Linked DNA regions of Oryctolagus cuniculus. The protein of the gene in region 2 binds, or shares a complex with, the protein of the main gene of each other region. Links are inferred from orthologs where the notes say so. Each region holds a gene or a part of one and is shown on either strand. Other genes may lie near its edges. The genes, in order: LAMTOR4, FNIP1, LAMTOR1 and LAMTOR2.

The links.
Region 1: FNIP1 (region 2) and LAMTOR4 share a complex: the UniProt entries of both Homo sapiens proteins name them as parts of the lysosomal folliculin complex. The link is inferred for Oryctolagus cuniculus from reciprocal best matches to the Homo sapiens genes FNIP1 and LAMTOR4.
Region 3: FNIP1 (region 2) and LAMTOR1 share a complex: the UniProt entries of both Homo sapiens proteins name them as parts of the lysosomal folliculin complex. The link is inferred for Oryctolagus cuniculus from reciprocal best matches to the Homo sapiens genes FNIP1 and LAMTOR1.
Region 4: FNIP1 (region 2) and LAMTOR2 share a complex: the UniProt entries of both Homo sapiens proteins name them as parts of the lysosomal folliculin complex. The link is inferred for Oryctolagus cuniculus from reciprocal best matches to the Homo sapiens genes FNIP1 and LAMTOR2.

The regions. Positions count from the first base shown.
Region 1 is NC_091450.1:42,481,009-42,486,374, reverse strand, and holds the start of LAMTOR4 (ragulator complex protein LAMTOR4), read right to left. Parts: upstream 3,173-5,366; 5' UTR 2,890-3,172; coding exon 2,887-2,889; intron 2,487-2,886; coding exon 2,406-2,486; intron 553-2,405; coding exon 435-552; intron 255-434; coding exon of another isoform or gene 238-254; coding exon 140-237; 3' UTR 1-139. UniProt on the Homo sapiens protein: As part of the Ragulator complex it is involved in amino acid sensing and activation of mTORC1, a signaling complex promoting cell growth in response to growth factors, energy levels, and amino acids.
Region 2 is NC_091437.1:20,416,960-20,422,249, forward strand, and holds the start of FNIP1 (folliculin-interacting protein 1), read right to left. Parts: upstream 3,467-5,290; 5' UTR 3,337-3,466; coding exon 3,245-3,336; intron 1-3,244. UniProt on the Homo sapiens protein: Binding partner of the GTPase-activating protein FLCN: involved in the cellular response to amino acid availability by regulating the non-canonical mTORC1 signaling cascade controlling the MiT/TFE factors TFEB and TFE3.
Region 3 is NC_091432.1:63,578,815-63,582,812, forward strand, and holds the end of LAMTOR1 (ragulator complex protein LAMTOR1), read right to left. Parts: intron 2,767-3,998; coding exon 2,621-2,766; intron 2,378-2,620; coding exon 2,300-2,377; intron 2,002-2,299; coding exon 1,875-2,001; intron 1,569-1,874; coding exon 1,476-1,568; 3' UTR 964-1,475; downstream 1-963. Other genes in the region: LRRC51 (leucine-rich repeat-containing protein 51), read left to right, coding at 52-211. UniProt on the Homo sapiens protein: Key component of the Ragulator complex, a multiprotein complex involved in amino acid sensing and activation of mTORC1, a signaling complex promoting cell growth in response to growth factors, energy levels, and amino acids.
Region 4 is NC_091438.1:42,634,362-42,639,810, reverse strand, and holds LAMTOR2 (ragulator complex protein LAMTOR2), read left to right. Parts: upstream 1-2,105; 5' UTR 2,106-2,963; coding exon 2,964-3,031; intron 3,032-3,278; coding exon 3,279-3,441; intron 3,442-4,642; coding exon 4,643-4,732; intron 4,733-4,962; coding exon 4,963-5,019; 3' UTR 5,020-5,137; downstream 5,138-5,449. Other genes in the region: UBQLN4 (ubiquilin-4), read right to left, coding at 1,756-1,863. UniProt on the Homo sapiens protein: As part of the Ragulator complex it is involved in amino acid sensing and activation of mTORC1, a signaling complex promoting cell growth in response to growth factors, energy levels, and amino acids.

The DNA.
Region 1 (5,366 bases), on a different chromosome or scaffold from region 2:
GGGTGGGACGGCGGGTGAGCAGAAGACCTTAGTTCTAGCAGCAAGCCAAGAGAGGCGGACGACGTGTCTGTCTTCCTCGTCCAAGGCCCCCGGCCCGCGGCCCCACATCCACTGCTCTGACCCTCACCCTCGGGCAGGCTCAGACGTCAATGGGCTCCCGGCCTCGGTTCTGCCTCTTCACCACAAACACCCTCTGTCCCGACACAGTCACCAGCAGCGTGTGCTCGCCAAAGACCACTGGAGGGGAGACACACCTTCCCCCGCCCCAGGGGAGGGAAGGGAGCATGGTTAGCGGGTGCCATGCACGGGGCCAATCTCCAAGGGAAGGAAGTGGCTGAGCCAGGGACCCCAGGAGGTGCTGGGAAGAAGCAAGGTGTCTTCCCTGAGAAGCCTCTAGAGGTACCCCCACCACCACGGCAGGGGCTGGGGCTCACCGGACAGGCGCTTGAAGGGAACGTTCATGCCATGGTGCAGCCGGAATCCGCAGGCCGTGCTGACCAGCTCTGAGATGGCACTGGCTGCCTGCTCGTCATTCTCCAGGTCCCCGGACGACTGCATGCAGAGGGGGGGAGGTGACAGAGGTGAAGGCACAGGGTCTCCCTTCCTATCTGCCCAACGAATGGACCTAAAACTTCCCTGCGGGTCACCCGCCTCGGGCTACCCCGTTGCTCATCCCTACCATCCTGGGCCTCCCTCATGAGAGATGCCCTCAGCCCTTCCCAGACAGTTCTCGAACCCCTTCAGAGTGGATTTCTCGCCCTGTCCACGGTCTCCACCATCAGTGCCTACCCACCACGGGCTTGTTCAGTGCTCTGCTTTCCCCCGCTGCTCGGTCTGCAGAATCTAAAACACACACCGCCTCTGTGGAACCCCTCCCTGCCCCTCGCCCCCTGGGGAAGTGCGGATGGTGGCCTGGGCTTCCTCTTTTCCGGTGACTCAACTTCCTCCCACCTCACTGACTCGAGCCTCCTCCCACTAAGTTACGCTTATTTCCCTTGGTTCTTAGACACCTGTACCTCAGTCTTCGCATCCCTAAATTGGGGACACCGATCTCTATCTTTTAGGCTTGTGAGGATTACGTGGAGGCACTGAGAACAACTCATATTAGTTGCTATTCTGTATCAAATTTGGTGCCTAAAGTCAGGCCATCAAAATTCCCCTTATCCACTGCCCCCAGTCAACCTCCTTTCTTGATGTCCTGTTTGGGAAACACTTTTTTTTTTTTTTTTTTTTTTTTTTTACAGGCAGAGTGGACAGTGAGAGAGAGACAGAGAGAAAGGTCTTCCTTTGCCGTTGGTTCACCCTCCAATGGCCACTGCGGCTGGCGTGCTGCGGCTGTCCCACCGCGCTGATCCGAAGGCAGGAGCCAGGTGCTTCTCCTGGTCTCCCATGGGGTGCAGGGCCCAAGTACATGGGCCATCCTCCACTGCACTCCCGGGCCACAGCAGAGAGCTGGCCTGGAAGAGGGGCAACCGGGACAGAATCCGGTGCCCCGACCAGGACTAGAACCCGGTGTGCCAGCGCCGCAAGGCGGAGGATTAGCCTAGTAAGCCACGGCGCCGGGCTGGGAAACACTTCTTCCAGGCTTCTGAGTTCAAACTCTGGACAGAGAAATGTCTCCTCTACTTCTTATCTAGTCACTACCAAGATTCCTCTAAAACCTCTTCACTCCTGCTCCTCACTGCCACCAGCCTGGGCATCCCCCTGCCAGCACCGTCCTCACACCACTAACAGAACAATCCTGCTCAGCCCTTCCGTTGGGTCACATTTCTGTTAAAAACAACAACAAAAAACTTCAAGGCTCCTATAAGATTAGGTCTAGAGGCGTTTAACACCGTGGCCTTGGAAGTCCTCCATGGCGGGATCTTTTCCTTACCGTATCCTTGTCTTTCCCCAAATCTTTTCAACACGAACCCACCACCAATTCGCCAGGCAGCGTCCACCCCTGCAAATGTGTTCCCTTCCCGGCCCTGAACACTCTTCTGCTCACCTACAACCGCCCCTGCTGTGCGCTCAGCTGAATTCCCCCGAGAAATCTGCCCAACTCAGGTTCTCCTGCGGAGCCCAGGCGTGGTTTTCTGAACCCCTTCAACAGTCTCTCCCACTTGCGTTGCTTTCCACCTTGGACCTGAAGCCTTGTCTTTCTACCTAGTGCAGAAGCGTCGAGAGCGCTAACCCCATAAATAATAAAATAAAAATAGGCTAGAGGAACACGTAGGTAGGGTCAGCTATCCACAAACCTATACCTAGCGTGTGCCTTTGGTTCAAAGTTAGTAACTTAGTGCAAAACGGATGCGAGCCCAAGCCTCCACGGACTGGGGACTGACTGCAAGCTCCCTATGGCAAAGGCAGAGAACAGGGACACTTAAGCTAGGCTGGGCCCTGTGTGCTCCCCCAGGACGCACCGCCAGCACCGCGCCTTCGCTCAGCACCAGGTAGCCGAGCTGGTCTGGGATTCGCTCCAGCCCCTGGGTCAGCGCCGAAGTCTAGTGGGTAAAGATGCAAGCAGTGAAAAGCGAGCCGGCACGAAGGCCCGCTCCGGACGACGGCTGCAGGCTGCCCCTCGCCCCCGCCAGGGCCCCTCTACGCGGCCTCCACCTCTGAGGCTCCAGAGCCTCCGTCAGCACCCACTCTCGGCCCCCCACATCCCACCTTCGCCACCCAAGCAGTCTCCGCAGCCCCGCTGGCCCTTCTGCCCAGCCCCTCCTACCCCGCCCCGACCCGCAGGGAACTTCCCAGCCCCGAATGCCCTCCCACAGATCCCTCTCGGCCCGGGGCGGACTCGCGGTGAGGGTGGGGTACAGGCCCAGGAGGGGGCCACCCAGGACCGGGGAACCTGGACAGGGAAGCCCGGGCGCTCACTCCTGCGCATGCGCCCTCACTCACCATCGCAGCCTTAAGGTGCCTGAGGAGCTGCCTACGAGACAGGTGGCTTCCGGCTGCAGGCCCGGGTCACGTGTTTCCACCAGACGGACTCCTCCCTCCCCTCAGCGACGCCGAACTTCAGCCCCGCCCCCAGCGTGTGGATTGGAGCGTGGCTACGTCATCAGACTTGATCAGCCGGTGTGGAGAGCCGCTTTCCGGAGGCGCGCGTGGATTGGTCGCATACACTTTTTACCATTTGTTCCCCCGCCCCTCAGGCGGGGCGGGGCGGGGCAGGAAGGGAAAAGCGTCCGCGGAGAGGGGGCGGAGCTCTGAATGTGCGCGTGCGCGTGCGCCTGCATGCGGGCCCGCGTCGACCTGGTCTAGACTGCCCCCTAGTGGCTAAGAGAGTCGTCTCCTGGGTTTAAGACTTCCCAACCTTGGGCGGCGCCGCGGCTCACTAGGCTAATCCTCCGCCTTGCGGCGCCGGCACACCGGGTTCTAGTCCCGGTCGGGGCGCCGGATTCTGTCCCGGTTGCCCCTCTTCCAGGCCGGCTCTCTGCTGTGGCCAGGGAGTGCAGTGGAGGATGGCCCAAGTGCTTGGGCCCTGCACCCCATGGAAGACTAGGATAAGTACCTGGCTCCTGCCATCGGATTAGCTCGGTGCGCCGGCTGCAGCACGCCGGCCACTGGAGGGTGAACCAACGGCAAAGGAAGACCTTTCTCACTGCCCACTCTGCCTGTCAAAAAAAAAAAAAAAAAAAAAAAAAAAAAAAAAAAACGACTTCCCAACCCTAAAAGGAGAGATTGAAATGAAATATTGAAGTGCATGTGAAAAATTATTCAAATGCTACTTAAAAAAAAAAAACAACCCTACCCAGTTTAAGGGCCGACTTAATGAACTGATATCCCAAATCAGAATGCAGACTCACTTGGAGCATTGAATACTGAAGATGCTACCTAGAGGCAGACCTGTTGTGAGAAATCAACATTCAAAACAGCAGCGGGAAGGCCTGGGGCACTTGATTAGCATCACTAAACATGATCTGGAAGACGTCACATTGGTCGAACACTGATTGAAAGAAACCACATCAGAGGTGGTTTTTAGCCCACAGTTCACAAACCTGTGTTAGAGGTTTGTCAGCTGGGTCCTGCTGCAGTATCAGGAAACAGCCTTCCCTTGCTTGGTTTTTTTGAGAAGGTTTGACAAATTACTGTCAATCAGGAGCCAGCGCTGTGGCAGCAGATTAACGCCCGGGCCTGAAGCACTGGCATCCCATATGGGCGCCAATTCCAGTCCCAGATGCTCCTCTTCGGATCCAGCTCTCTGCTGTGGCCTGGGAAAGCAGTGGAAGATGGCCCAGGTCCTTGGGCCCCTGCACCTGCATGGGAGACCCGGAAGAAGCTCCTGGCTTCGAATGGGCTCCAGCCATTGCGGCCATCTGGGGAGTGAACCAGCAGATAGAAGACCTCTCTCTCTGTCTCTACCTCTCTCTGTAACTCTTTTTCAAATAAAATTAATCTTAAAAAAAAAAAATCACTGCCAATCAAGCTGAATTAACAGTCACCTCACAGCTCTTCAAAAATAAATTTTGAAAGGTTTATTGTTACGCCCAGTTCAGTTGTTCCCAAAGACCACCAAGGAGCCGATACCGCTGTAAAGCGCACGAGAGTTTTATTGCAGGTCCGGGCCTGGACTCTCAATCAACACCGACATAGCGGGCCTGAAATGAGAGCCCCGACCCTTCAGTTAACAGGGTTTTTATAGGGTTTCAGAGACATTCTATACATCATGGTTCCATTTAGCAAATCATCTCATCCTGCAGGAAATTCAAAGAACATCTCTTAGAATTGATTCGTGCATCCAGTGGCGGGAACGGACCTACTAAAGGTGGTTGGATGGCTTTGGGGTTGATGCCTTTTGAATTGATTGGCCGAAGCATAGGGTCCGAGCTGCTGGGGTGTATGTGCGGAACTACAGGGTCTCAGGTAGCTATCAATCACCTTATCTGCCCTGAGAAGACACCAGGAACTCTAGGTGTTTCTCTGTTATCTGCTAATTGGCTGTTGCTAGGAGAGTTTATCTCAAGGGGAATTCATTTATTTACTTTTAAGAGCTTCTGGCTTAGGGTTCAGGGCCTGGTCAGGCCCAAGTTACAAGATGGAGGCCTAATTTAAAATAGTTACACCTTGATCCAGGCTCAGGTCTCACATTCCCCCCTTCTACTGGTAACTATGGGGACCAATCATGGTCCCCTTCTGCCCACTTTAATGGCCTGCTCATCTAGGGGCTAGTATTGATTTCACAGGACCATCAACTGTACAGTGCTGACCCTTGTCTTCTAGTCAGGGTCTATAACAAAGGACAGAAAGATGCTAGGCCAAATAGAAACTGACAGAAGGGGCTTTAAGGCCTTGGCAGCTATGAGCCTAGACCTATTTATCTTTTTACATGGGGTACATCCTAAGAGAGGTGCGAACCTCCTTGGAAAGGCACCCTGTTG
Region 2 (5,290 bases):
GCCAGCGCCGTGGCTCACTTGGCTAATCCTCCACCTGCGGCGCCGGCACCCCAGGTTCTAGTCCCAGTTGGGGCACCGAATTCTGTCCCGGTCGCTCCTCTTCCAGTCCAGCTCTCTGCTGTGGCCCAGGAGGGCAGCGGAGGATGGCCCAAGTGCTTGGGCCCTGCACCCGCATGGGAGACCAGGAGGAAGCACCTGGCTCCTGGCTTCAGATTGGCGCAGTGCGCCGGCCATAGCAGCCATTTGGGGGGTGAACCAACAGAAGGAAGACCTTTCTCTCTGTCTCTGTCTAACTTGTCTAACTCTGTCAAAAAAAAAAAAAAAAAAAAAAAAAAAAAAAAAAAAACTATTCACAGCAGCACAGTTCACAAAACCCCTATCTGGAAACAACACAAATTTCTTCCAACTAGTGAATGAGTAAATAATTGTGGTGTGTACAACACACACCATTCAGCAATGAAAGGAAGGATTAATGAAACTACTGACAGATGCAACAACACGGCTAAGTCAAAGTCATCATTCTGTGTGAAAATGAGCCAAATACAAGGCTATACAGTGGGACCAGCAGAGTGGTAAAGCCATTGCCTGCAGTGCCGGCATCCCATATGGGTGCTGGTTTAAGCCCCAGCTGCTCCACTTCTGATCCAACACTCTGCTATGGCCTGGGAAAGCAGTAGAAGATGGCCCAAATCCTTGGGCCCCTGCACCCACATGGGAGACCCAGAAGAAGCTCCTGGCTCCTGGCTTTGGATCGGCTCAGCTCTGGCTGCTGTGGCCATTTGAGGAGTGAACCAGCGGATGAAGACCTTTCTCACTCACTCTCTGCTTCTGCCTCTCTGTAACTCTGCCTTTCAAATAAAATAAATAAATCTTAAAAAAAAAAAAAACTCTATACAGTATGATTTTGTTTATATAAAACTCCAGGAAGGTTAAAAGTATGATGACAGAAAGCAGATCAGTGACGACCCCAGGTGACGAGAAGATACAGACCGACTGCAAAGCGCACAAATCAAATTTTAGGGGGATGGACATGTTCCCAAGCTTCACTGGAATGGTGCACACACAACTGAGTCTATACAAAAGAAAACACAACAGGACATTTAAAATGTAATTTTATTTTGTATAAATTATAATTCAATAAGGTTGTTTAAAAAAATTTGGTTAATGAGATCTGCAAGTTACTAGCTATGTGATGTTAACCAGAGTTTCCATTTTCTCACATGTACACTTGCACACATTTTATTTTCTAAGAAGTTGCTTGGGGTGAATATCTGGTGCACTGGTGAAATCGCTCCTTAGGATGCCAACATCCCACGTCAAAGTGCCCGAGCTGGAGTCCCTGCTCTGCCTCTGATTCCAGCTGCCAGCGTATGCAGACCCTGGGAGGTAGCAGGTGATGGCTCAAGTACTTGGGTCTCCGACACTCATGTGGGAGAACCAGGCTTTCATCTGGTCCAGCCCTGGCTGTTGTGGCCGTTTAGGGAGTGAATCAGTTGATGGAAAACCTGTCTGTGTGTGTGTGTGTGTGTCTGTCAACCTGCTTTACAAATAAATAAAGGAAATGCCTCCCTCGTGCACTGCCCATTACTGGGCTTATACACAATTCTTACTTCCACTGGAAAAAATGATAACAGTTATCTATATTGCCACTTGCCCTATCTCACAAGGTTGTTGTGAAACATCAAACAAGATAACCGATGAGAAAGTTCTTTGGCAACTTTATAGTAGTATTACACAACCATACAGCAGACTTTACATTTTTAGAGAGTAGACAGGAAAATGTGTTCTCACGAGTGACTTGAGACCACTGTAAACTTGGGTGCCCAAAGTCAGCCTTTGCTCAGAAATAGAAAGGTGCTGTCTGTTCAAATGTCACCTTTGAAATATCTTTCCAGAACCTGCTTCCTACTATCTCCTGAGTTACTACGTGTGTCCGTGTAGTATTGACACAGACTGTACTTTCATTTTTCAAAGGAAAAATACTAAAGTAATGTCTAGAAAAAGTCAGATGAGCATGGTAAGACATCTCCCTCACAGTGGAAAAGACCGATACCTAGAAAACTGCCTTTTTTTCCTCTACCAGTTAACTTCTTTCCATTTCCTATTTCAATTCCACATGTATTTACAGAGCGTTTTCTGATGTGACCCGCATTAGCAAGAAAGGCTGAATAACTTTAGATTCAAAACTTCTAAAACTAGTGTGCCGCAATCCTTCTCACTTCGGCCTGCTGGAAGATTCGAGATTCTCATTTTTTCCTACAGCTATTGTACAACCAGGCTCTCTGCTATGTAATAAGTTTGAGGGATATTCGACATGTAGCCAGGTTACATTTGCAAGTTTCCAGGCTACAACAGATAGGAAAGCTGTGTCGAAGACACAACATCTCTTCATATGAAGTTTCACGAGTAATTGTGACCCTGAATCCAGCTTTACATCAAATCTTACAATTCTAAAAAGTTATTCAACCAGCAACAAGTACTGCAACCAAAAATTAACAAAGCTTGTAATGCCACAAAACCTTCTGCCACAGTCTTCAACTTGTGGCCTCCTGTGCAGTAACAGCTCTAAGGGGGAAGATTCTAGGGCCCATCCTAACGCCAGACCTCACGGGATTCGGTCCCGCATCAGCTGGGTGGGCAGTCAGGCTAACCTCTCGGGTTTCCCATTTCTCTTGCAATAACATGAAAGCCGCAAGGTCCGGTATCCGCAAGCCTCCAATTTCAGTCTCCAAGAAGCCTCAAAGAACGGCCCCTAGCCTACTCGCTCCTGCAGCCCTCTGCACACCCAGGAGCTTGGCCAAACGTGCTGCCCTCTCCCCGACGCCAACAGAGCTGGAATGGAGCGCCCAGAGGGCGACTGGTCACGGGGAGGAGGGGAGAAGTTCTGGGCCGGGAGGACCGCGGCTCAGGTCCAAAGCAGCCCGCGCCCTGCCCGCTGCCAGGAGGCGTGTGGACCCCGTGCCTCAGGCCGCGGGGCCACGTCCGGAGGGGCAGAGCCACGCGTGGCCGCGGACGGGACGTAAACAAACCAGCCCGAGGAGGGGGAAGGGGCAACGGCGGGGCGGTGGTGGGGAGAGAAGACTTCGCTCCAAGCCTCCAGCCCGAGTCCGCACCGGCCCCACCCCACCGCGAACCGGGTCCCGGTCCCGGCCGCGCGGGCCTCAACGCCCACGGCCCCACCATCTCTGGAACCCAGAGCCCAAAAGGCCATCGGTTTCGAGCCCCCCTTCCCGCAGCACCCTACCTGAACGCGCAATCCGGGTCCCGGGCGTCTCGGCCCGGCGCGCCCAGCCCGCTCCTCTTGCTGAAGAGCTTCTGGAACAACGTAGGGGCCATGCTGGCCACGGCCAGGCCGGGGTCGCTCCGCTGGGCGCTCGCTAGGCCCCCGCTCCTAGAGCCGCCTCGCCACCCCCATGGGCGCCTCAGTCATATGACAGAAATTAGTCACTTCAAACGGCCACGGCGCGCGGGGCGGGGCGCGAGGCAAACCCCGCGCTTATTGGCTGGCGGGGAGCCGCATCACGTGGCGGCATGCGGAGCAGGGGGCAGGAGGGGGTGCGGGGCGGCGCTGGCTCCCATAGGCTGGCGTCTGGTCCTGTCACGTGGCAGCTCGCGGGGCGGGGCGTGCGCGGAGAAGATGGCCGGGGTGGAAGGGACGTGATCAGGTCCCTGTGCTTGCATGGGAGGCTGTCAGTGGCTGTCTGAGGCTATGGCAGGTGGCGCGGTGACGACACCAGGGACTGTGGGATGCAGAAGCCTTCCGCGCCTCACTTCCACGATAGAGATGTTTGGGGTACCACAGGCAGCGGGCTCACCCGCTGACTCCCCCGACTTGAGCCGATTCTCCCCTCCAACTCGCGCCTGGCCGAGCCGGCTGCTCCGGCAGCAGAGCAGGCACACTAATACCCTTGGGGCCGCGACCGTGGCAGCATTGAGAACCCCCGGCCGCGAGACGGGACGGCGCGGAGGCCGGCTTACGGGGTCCACCTGCCTAGACGTCCTCCCGAGACGACCTAGGCAGGGCACCGGGAGTTTCCGCCAGCGCCTGCAACCCTGACACCTGGCATTAGAGCTGGCGACTGCGGTAGGGAGTTCAGCCCAGCTCCCTTGGTAACCGATAAAATCTGAAGTGAAACTGAGAAAGACTGGAAGCCTAGAAAGGGGACACACACCCACAAATACCTGACCCTTTATGCTCAGTGTTTACAATGTTAATAAATCCTATCAATGCATAGGGATGGGAAAGGAAGAAACCGGAATTTTAACCAAAGGATGGGGGGGTGCTTTCTAAAAAAAATACTCATAATTTTTTTAAAGATTTATTTAGTTAGTTAGAAGCAGTTAGACAGAGAGAGAAGGAGAGGCAGAGAGAAAGAGAGGGGAGAGAGAGAGGTCTTCCATCCGCTGGTTCACTCCCCAATTGGCCACAACAGCCAGAGCTGCACTGATCCGAAGCCAGGAGCCAGGAGTTTCTTCAGGTCTCCCATGCGGGTGTAGGGACCCAAGGACCTGGGCCATCTTCTACTGCTTTCCCAGGGCCTAGCAGAGAGCTGGATAGGAGGTGGAGCAGCCGGGACTCGAACCAGGGCCCATAGGGGAATGCCAGCACTGCAGGGGGCGGCTTTACCCGCGACGCCACAGCACCAACCCCAACTCATAAATTAACAGTCATACAAACCCATGGAATCAAAATACATCAGGGTTTGGATCAAACCAGTATTGTAAATTCTCAGCATCCCCATGCATCCCCCCACTCCACTCCAGGATGAGGAATTTTGTACAGTAGGCTGCAATTCTCAGAAACGTGGACGTCAGGAAATGACTGCTATACGGCTGGAAGACTATATTTAAAAAAATGCAGCCGGCGCCCGGCTCACTAAGCTAATCCTCCATCTAGGGGCGTCGGCACACCCGGTTCTAGTCGCCGGATTCTGTTCCGGTTGCCCCTCTTCCAGGCCAGCTCTCTGCTGTGGCCCGGGAAGGCAGTGGAGGATGGCCCAAGTGCTTGGGCCCTGCACCCCATGGGAGACCAGGAGAAGCACCTGGCTCCTGCCTTTGGATTAGCGCGGTGCGCCGGCCGCAGCGCACCAGCCGTGGCGGCCACTGGAGGGTGAACCAACGGTAAAGGAAGACCTTTCTCTCTCTCTATCCACTCTGCCTGTCAAAAAAAAAATGCTTATTTGAAAATTTCTTTTAATTAGGCATTAAAACGTTTTCAGAGTGGCTACCAACTCCAACTAAGACAATTTGCAGCTAGAATTTAAACTACAAATAAATGGTACTAACAGAA
Region 3 (3,998 bases), on a different chromosome or scaffold from region 2:
AGCAGCAGGTGGGGCGGGGCAGGGAGCTTCTGATGGGGGGCCGGCCCCCAGCCCGGGTCTCCTCACCAGGCAGTATGTGCTGTGTATGCTGCCCCGTATCACCACATTCGACTTCAGTGGGGTCACCAAAGCAGACCGCACCACAGCTGAAGTCTGGAAGCGCATGAACATCAAGCCCAGGAAGCCCCGGCTCAAGCAGAACGCACTCTGAGGCCCCGGACCGCAGCAGTCCTGAAGGCCCGAGGACGGTCAGCTTGGTGTGACAATAAATGCTTTGAGCTGTTCAGCAGACGCGAAGTCACTTGTGCCTCATGGGATGCCCTCCAACTCGGGTGACTTCCAGGAGTGCTGGGCATTCCACAGTGTCAGGCCAGCAGCGAGGACAGGAGACTGGGCTTCCCACAAGGCCTTAGGAAGGGTCCCTCTGTACCCTTCAGCTTAGTTATCCTGGGGTTGGCATCGATCACTGAATCCCCAAACTCTTCGCAGAGCGCCAGGTCAGAGGAGACACCCAAGAGGCCCCGTGGCAGGTGTGGCAGGTCCAGAAGACAGGTGGTGATCTCAGAACCTCCCCACTTCAATCACAATGCTCTACTTCCAGCAGCCTTAGCTTTTATATGGTAGGCTTCTGCTAAGATCTCATTTGATTCAAAGAATCTCTGCTTAAAAACATTTCCTGCTGGCTCCAGATCAGGGGTTCCCAGGACAGCTTGGTTTACCCCCAACCCTGTGGCTATCGGTGACCCCACTGAGCCTGAGGCAGGACCCTCAACAGTCAACAGCTGCTTCAGATTCAAGCCTGTGCAGCATTGACTGTGTTTAAGATCAGTCGAATCCAATCTGAGGTTAGCCCAGGCCAAGGTTCAGCTAAGACTTGGGGCCCCCCACCCCACTGCTCACAGACTTGGGTAGCCAGAAGTAGTAGGGTGATGGGTGGGACAGAGGGGCCGGAACCAACGCAGATGAATACATTTCCTTTATCGAGGGTGACAAACAAAAACAAAAAGAAAAAAGACCAAACATGTAAAAACCCAGGGTGCTAGAAAGACAAACTCAATTCATTCAAATTCAAGCTCATCCAGACCCTGGTCACAAACCCTAGAGGTGCATGTGAGCACCAAGTCAGGGAGAGGGGGACAGGAGTGACTCTGAGGCCAAGAGGAAGGGTGGGAGGGGGACCCTTTGGGCCCCAGTGACCACCCCCGCAGTGGCACCTCCACCTTCCCAGTGACTGCGAGGACCTGTCCTTTTGGCCCCCACTCCACCCCTAGCTAGGGCTTTGAAGCCAGTCCCAAATGGTTCCACCCTCCCTTGCTCCGTCCTCACTTGCTCAGGCTTCCAGCCTCACTCTCCTCCTCCTCGTCCACATCTCCGTGATTAGTAGCAGGTTAGGGTACTGTATAAGCCGCAGTGAGGCTGGGGGCTGGGGGAGGCGGGGTGGAGAGAGGAGAAGAGCTGTCCAAGGATGCTTCTCTTCACGGGATCCCAAACTGTACAACCAGCTCCTCTTTTGCGTCCACACGGATCTGAGAAAGTGCACTGTAGGCGTAAGCAGCTATCCTGGAGACCTGAGACACAGGGGACGGAGGAGAGGGACAGAGACAGGTGAGAGGGGAATCAGCGAAGAGCAAGGGGCAATGGGCGACAGGAGGCCAAACAGAAAGCCACGGATGGAAAGGGCCCAGGGAAAAGAACAAAGGAGGTGAGATGGAGTAAGGATTGGGCGAAAAGACAAGAGGACATTAAAAAGAGCGAGGTGGGAGTGAGCCAGGGCCCACAGGCCACTGCGCTCCTAACACCACTGCTCCACCTACCCCGGGGCAGGGTGGGCGAACCCTCCTGTGGAAAGGGAGGCAGACTGAGGGGCAGCTCACCTGCTGCAAGTCGGAGAAGGGGATGGGCTCGCTGGCCAGCACTTGGTGCGGCTGGCTGGTTAGAGACGGCAGCGGTGGCAGCTTCTTCCAGTGGGTCAGGCTGCTGCTCAGCACGGCCAAGCGGGTGCTGAGCAAGGCGGGGAAGGCAGTTAGGCCACAGTCTGACCACCCCAGCCCAGCCCAGGCAAGTCTATTAACCTCCGGCCGATGACAGGGAGACAGGGTCTCTGCTGATCACAAACTCACTCTAGGCACACTCTCAAGACTATCACAGGGCAGAAGCTGACATGGACATCTGAGGCGCCCAAGGGATTTGTGTGCAGTCTCCTGGGCTGCACCCAAACAGTGAGCCTGAGCAAAGCTGGGACAGGGCTGGGGTGGAGAGAGCCCCAAAGGCCTGAGGGAGCCAGCTGGCCAGTGCTCACCTGTACTGCCTTGCCCGGTCCATGTACTCATGTTGCTCCATGCCCTGGGAGTCTGCGGCAGACACATCGATGATGTTGCTTTGGGGACGAGACAGAGAAGACATGACAGGTGTTTTTGAGAGGGACAAACATGACTCAGTGCCAGGTGCCAACTCCAGGGCTATCCGACACCAGTGGCCCCACCCTGCCTTGAGGCGCAGCTCCTCAATGACCTTGTCCCATTCCCCATGTCCTAGGCCAACTCCCTCTATCCCAGCCTTCAGTCCGGATGGACAGACGGACGTTGGAACTCTGCCCCAGGCTCGGGCCTGTGACCCTCACCTGGCTGTCTTGGCGAGGATGGAGGAGAGCAGGGCCTGCTCATCTGTGCGAGCGGAAGGCAGGCTGTGGTAGTTGGGCTCAGCTCCATTGAGGGCTTTGGTGGGGGGGCTGCTAGGGTCCAGCAGCAGCTTCCGCTCCTCTCGATCCTAGGAGAGGCCATGGGGGAGACCCTTAGTCCAACTTGCCTGGGGCTCTCCCTGCAGCCCAGCTCTAGCATAAGCACTCGCTTGAGTGCCCAACTCTATGGGCTATCAGGCAAGACTCAGTTTCTGCCTGCGTGGGGAGCTGTGCCAAACTGGTGGTGGCCTAGGGTTAACTACAGGGGAATAACCAAGCAGTCCTAGAGGCACTGAAAAGGTGGACAGAGGCAGAAAGCAGGAATTCAGCCACAGCCCTGGGGCTTCAGTAAACAGTCCAGGATTTGGTGGAGAAAGGATACTGGACAGAGGGGTGTAACAGCCCGTAACAGTCGGATCTAGAAGGAAGTCAGTGCACGTCGGGAGCTCAAGAACCGACCCCTGGGCCCCAGGACGAGGCCCTCCCCAGCAGAGCTGTCTGCTCCCGAGATGACGGCCCTGGTGAATCCAGACAAGGCCCAGGCACCAAAGGAAAGCAAGTTCAGTGGCCATTCCTCAGGTGACCTCAGGGCAGGAATCTCAGCCCAGGATCTGGGTCACACAGGACAGCTGTCCTCCCTTCTTGAGGGCGGATCCTTCTCTCAGGTGCATGCCCTCCTGTATGTGCCTCCCAGAAGCAGTGGCATGCACCTGGTGAACCCTGCACTGAGCTGAGCAGTACAGCTGTCGCCTCCCTTTCCAAGCCCCCACACCTCTTGTGGCTGGAGCAGCCTCTTCAGTTTCAGGAGCCTGTTCCTGCTAGCCTGTGCAGATAATCACAACCAGCCACAGCCCAGAGTGGACCTAGGGCCAAACCAAGTTTCCCTTTTCCTGCAAAATTGTATTTCCCTGGCCTGTTTCAAGCCTTTCTTCTAATCTACTGTACTCTCTCTGGATTCAACCCTGCCTTGAGCCCATGAGCGTAAATCCCTGCTGGCTTTGTATCAGCTGCGAATCGGATTAGCAGACCTGCTGGGTGTCCACCCAAGCCGTAAATGGGAAGGGAGCCCATCCTGGCTAATGCTGCTTCTCGAACCCCCAGCACCAGACCTCCAGATGCCTCAAAGCTCGCTTCCCAGTCCATCTCAGCTCCTACCACAAGCCTGCCTGCTGCAGGCCCCAGCTGACCAGCCCACAGCTCCACGGCTCTCCTTACAGAGCGCTACCTCCTCCTGCCCTGCACGCTCCACCCTGGGCAGGCCCAGCCTCTTCACCGTCCTTTTCCTTCCCAAGCCTCATTCGCCCAAGTTCCTCAGGCCACT
Region 4 (5,449 bases), on a different chromosome or scaffold from region 2:
GCTGTCTCAACCCCACCCCTCCAGCTTCGATAAGCAGCCCCCCACCCCGTTAGTTTATTTATCTTATTTATTTGAAAGACAGAGACAGACAGCCACTGGTTCACTCCCCAAATGTCCCCAACAGTCAGGGCTGGGTCAGGCAGAAGCTGGGAGCTGGAAACTCAATCCAGGTCTCCCAGGTGGGTGGCAGGGACCCAGCCACCTGAGTTAGCACCTGCTGCTTTCCAGGGTGCACATGAGAAGGAAGTTGGAATTGGCAATGGAGCCAGGCCAGGCACTCCAAAATGGACTGTGGACATCCCAACAGGTGTCTTACCTGCTTTAAGTTTTGTTTACTTATTTGAGAGAGAGAGACAAACAGAGCAAACAGAGCTCCCAGCCACAGGTTCACCCCCCAAGTGCTTGCAATAGCAGGGGCTGGGCTAGGCTGAAGCCAGGAGCCAGAAGCTCAACCCAGGTCTCCCATGTGAGAGGTAAGGACTTGAGCTGCCGCCTGCTGCCTCCCAGGGAGCTTCTTTCTTAACCAGGAAGATAAGCCAGTCAGAGGCTCCTCTCTCAGCGCCATCCCAGTCTCCCACCCGAGGAAGCCCTCACAGCTATCTGTACCCCAGACTGAGCAACTGCCCCATCAACTCCTTCTACGGCCTGGCGCTTCTTCAGCCTTCTCCTCTCCCCGCTCCAGCGTCCCGCCTCTCCTGACTTCCAGCTCTCTCAACAACAGCAACAACAAGGTCCAGCCACTGAGCACGAACCAGGCACGAGTTAATGGTCCGGTATTTTCATTATTAACTCCGTGTTCAAGATCAGAAAACGGAAGAGCAGGGAGCTTAGGTAACATCCTGGGCAGATTGGAACTCAGGTCTTGACCAGACACTCTTGCCTCTCAATTCCAGCTGTTTTCAAAGTCAGCTTTGCAGGGACCCCTCTTCTGGAATTCAGTCATTTTATACTGCTGGGAGAGTTCAATTCTCAGTCCCTGCAAAGCCCAACCCAACCCAACGCACACTCCGAGTAGAAAAGGCGCACTTGCTAATAAGCAAAGGGAGCTTCCAAATCCCTCTCTTCCAACCAGATGGCCCATCCTGAAGCCCCGCCTATGTGAAATTCTGGAGCAACTACAGGGGGGTGGCGAACGCAGGCAAGAGTCCCTCATTCAACAAAACCTTATGGAGCACCTACTGCACACTGTGCAAATCTCAGAAGAGCTGAAAACCAAGTGTGACCACCTCGGGCTTAAAGAGCAGGAAGGATCTAGGGCAGAGAACATCCTCCACCCCACCCCGCGCCCTGCGTTCGGCGGACTCTGGGCGTTCTCCGGGCCACACAGGAGACGCGGGCGCTCTCCGCCTGCCCCCTACCCGCTCTACGGGTCCAGCACCTAGCCGGGGCCGCCACTGCGCCTCGGCGCCTCGAACCCCGGCCAGTTCCAGGGGCGCACACTCCCCTCAGCCCCAGGGTGCTTCCCGGGGGCCGGCGCAAGGTGTCCCCTTACCCACTCTTCCACCACGCCCCCAGCCCCGGCTCCAGTGCAAAGCCCGCTCCCCCCAGCACGCGCCACACTCCCCCAGACCCGCCCGCGCAGGGCGCCCCATATCCGCCTCTCCTGCCCACGCGAGTCCCCGCCGGCCCCCGCCCTCCTCCCCGGGGCCGTCCCGGACGCCAGGCAGTCACGGAGGCCCCCCGCCCCGTTTCTTCGTAGCCCCCTCCTCCGCACTCCCTCTCCGCTCCCCCCCCGCCCGCCGCTAGCCCTACTACCTCCTTGACCGAGGCTCGATCGCAGATCACAATTTCCTCCTTGTCCTTGGGGGTCTTGACGGTGACCCGAATGGGGGGCCTCGTCTCGGCCCCGCTCGGCTCCGCCATGCCGCCGCCGCCACCCGGCCGCCCGCCAGCCCGCCCGGCTCCTCCTCCTCCTCCTCCTCCCCGCCCGCCGGCCGGCCCGGCTCGGCTCGGCGCCTCCAACACTCCCCTCTCCCCTCCCCTCGCCGCGGCTCCGCCGCCCCCTCCGGACCCGCCGCAGCCACAGCGCCCCGGGCGGACTGGGGGGGCCACTGCAGCGGGGTCCGCCCAGGGCCCGGCCTGGGGTCCGGCCGCCGGGACGCGGCCTGGGTGGCGAGGGCCTCTGGGCGCGGAGGGCGTGTCCTTCACGGCGGGGGCCTGCGAGAGACCCCCGCCCGGCCCGAGCCTCGCCGCCGTGCCCTGCGACCCCGGGCCGCCCCCTCCCCTCCGCGGTTACTCCTGCTCCCGGACAAAGGACTTTCTGCGTGGCCGCTTTTTCTGTGATAACTTGGTCTTCCCTGGGCGGTGCAAGTTCCTTTCCAGGCCTGGGGCCTCGCTCCACCGGGAGTCTGAATTTTCTCCCCGCGGGACGTCCACTTAAAGCCTCCACTCAGGGAGTGACCCTGTTGCTCCCGATGCCCACGGCCTGAATGGCCTGTTCTGTACGGTGCGAGAACTGGGTGTTGCCGGCGTCACCGTTCCAGCCTCGGTTTCAAGAAAACAGAATCTCTTGCCTCATCCCACAGAATAGTGCCTAACGTAGAAAACCGCTCTGAGAAGTAACCCAGGCTGTGCCCGACAAATACGAGGATTTATTACTACTATTATCGCTTCGTGAGTAGCCAAGCGGCCATGATGACCTCTCTCCGCCAAGGGGTTAAACGTCCTCCCAACCCTGCCACATTGCCCTTCCACTCCCGCTCTTTTCCCCCACGACCGCGTGGTCTAGCTGAGGAGGCGAACTACAGTTCCCAGTGTGCCTTGCGAGACCACAGGAACTACGATTCCCAGTCCCTCCGCGGCTGAGCGGGGTGGGGCCAGAGCAGCTGTCACGGGGTCGGAAAACTACAACTCCCAGGGCGTTCCCGAGCGGGTCGCTGCACTGCCGGAAGCCGCAGGCCGCGGCTAAGCGGGACGCCGCTCGGAGGATCTGGGATTTAAAGGCTGGGTGACGAGCCGCTGGCATGCTGCGTCCCAAGGCGTTGACCCAGGTGCTAAGCCAAGCCAACACCGGAGGCGTCCAGAGCACCCTGTGAGTGCGGGCCGTGGACCCGTGCGGCGGCAGCGGAGTGGGGCGGGGAAGGGAGGCGGCCGAGGGGACCCGCAGCTGACCGAGAGCGCGCCTCTGGAAAGGGAAGCCAGCGTGCTGGGGGCTCGGGACGCCTTCCGGGACACGCTCAGCTCAGCCCCTTGCCTCGTAGGAGCGCCAGTGATACGGGCGTCGGGGCGGGGACCCAGGCGTTTGAGCATGTCGACATCCCATCCTTGTCTCTCGCCAGGCTGCTGAATAACGAGGGATCGCTGCTGGCCTACTCGGGTTATGGAGACACGGACGCCCGGGTCACCGCGGCCATCGCGAGTAACATCTGGGCAGCTTATGACCGAAACGGGAACCAGGCGTTTAACGAAGACAACCTTAAATTCATCCTCATGGACTGCATGGTACGGAGAGAGGGGAGCCAGACTTCCTCCATCCACCAAGGGGATTCCCAGGGGGCGAACTGGCCCCCATCCTGGATGATTGTTGGGGCAGGGACAGAATCTCCGAGAGATTGCTAAGAGTTGGTCCTGCAGCAGCGTTTGCGATAGGCAGGCCCGGGAGCACCCAGCGGTGGTGAGGAAGGAGCCCCGGACCTCAGGTCTGACTTGGGTTCTGGTCTCTGCCATGCACTTAGCAGTGGTGAAACCTTGGGTAAGTCACTTCCCTCATCTCCAAGCAGGAGGTGATGAGCCATCCTCCCCCACCTCGGGACTGTTGACAATCAAATGAAAGAATGGGTCTACACCGTAGAGAGCTGTTCAGACGCAGAGCGTGTCCACCCAGCGCCACCGACTTGCAGGGCCATGGCGGAGTCTCCAGACCCGGACAGGAGAAGTGGCCATTACACTGTGACTTTCTTGGGAACAGGGACTGCTTCGCTCCTCTCTGAATCTCTTAGGTGACGACCATTTAGGTCCTGCAGGACTTTTAGGACTAGAGGGGGCATACAGACAGGACAGACAAAAACCCCATTCCTGGTGGAGCTTACAACCTTACATGTGTTTTAAAATAAGCAGACTATCTGGTCTGGACCGTATGAAATGCAATGGAGAAAAACAAAGCAGGGAAGTAAGAGGGTATGGAGGGCGTGTGTTAGGGCCAGTGTCACTGAAAAGGCGATGTTTGATCAAAGGACAGAGGGTGGTGGGGGTCCAGTCATGTGGCCCTCTGACAGAGCAGCAAGTACCAAGGTCCTGTGACAGAGTGGGGCCTGGACTAGGATCAGCAAGCTTGGCCTGAGTCGCGGGAGGGTAGCAGGAGATAGGACCAGAAAGACAGGGGCTGTGGTGCCTGGTTCCCAGCACACAGCGGACACCTAGTAAAGGTTTGCAGAACCAAAATGAACAGATTGCAAGGGTGCGTGCACCAGGAAGGGTCTCCACTGTAACTTGGCTGCCTGCCCCCCCTGACCTCACCACTGCCATTTTGGCTCAGCAGGTGACTCCTATGGGTGCCTAGCTGGAGCTGGTGCTATTTAAAGCAGTAACTTTCAAATGTGACTGCAACCCAGACGAGACATACATTTTAAGTCAGGAACCCTCGGGGAAGGCGGGTCCTGTGAGTGTCAAACAGAACATCCCATCCCATCATATCCCCTACCAGGAGGGCCGTGTAGCCATCACCCGCGTGGCCAACCTTCTGCTGTGTATGTATGCCAAGGAGACCGTGGGCTTCGGCATGCTCAAGGCCAAGGTGTGTACATGTCCATCCTGCCGCAGCTGTGGGCCCGCTGTTGTGCTCCGTCACTGTGTCCACTCCCACCCACAGCACCGCACCGCTCTCAAGTCCTTCCGTCAGCTCAATTAGTGTCTGATGTGGGCAGGAGGGAGGTGGGAGTGGTTGAGGGGCGGCCTTGGGAGTAGAACTGGGATCCGTCAAGTGGCAGGCATCTGCGACACTGACTTCTTCCCCCCCTCTTGCAGGCCCAGGCCTTGGTGCAGTACCTGGAGGAGCCCCTGACCCAAGTAGCTGCATCATAATGGACATTGGTGGAAGCTGGGGTCAGAATGGGGTCAGCATCATAGAGACCATGGGGGGAGGGCGGGACTGTGGTTTTTGATTTGTTGTTGTTGTTGTTCAAGAATGAAATTCAGCTCCTGTCTTGTGTCTTGGCTTTTTTTTTTTTTTTGGATGGGAAGAATCATAGGAGGCAGGAAGGAGCAGGGGCCACGTACAGGGTGTCCTGTGTTCTGCAAGAATGGGCGTCCACCTGCACCTTCCCTGTGACCTCCCGCTACCAAATGGTTCTTGGCAGAGGTGCCTCAGCTCTCCTGGCCTCTCCAGTGCTGTGACCTCACCTACCCTGGTGAGGTCACAGCAGATTCTTAGCTACCTGGTTGGCAACCTTGTTGGGAGTGGGCTCCTGGCACAGGCTGGACAAGAGCATATCAGACCCTGAGAGGTCAGTGG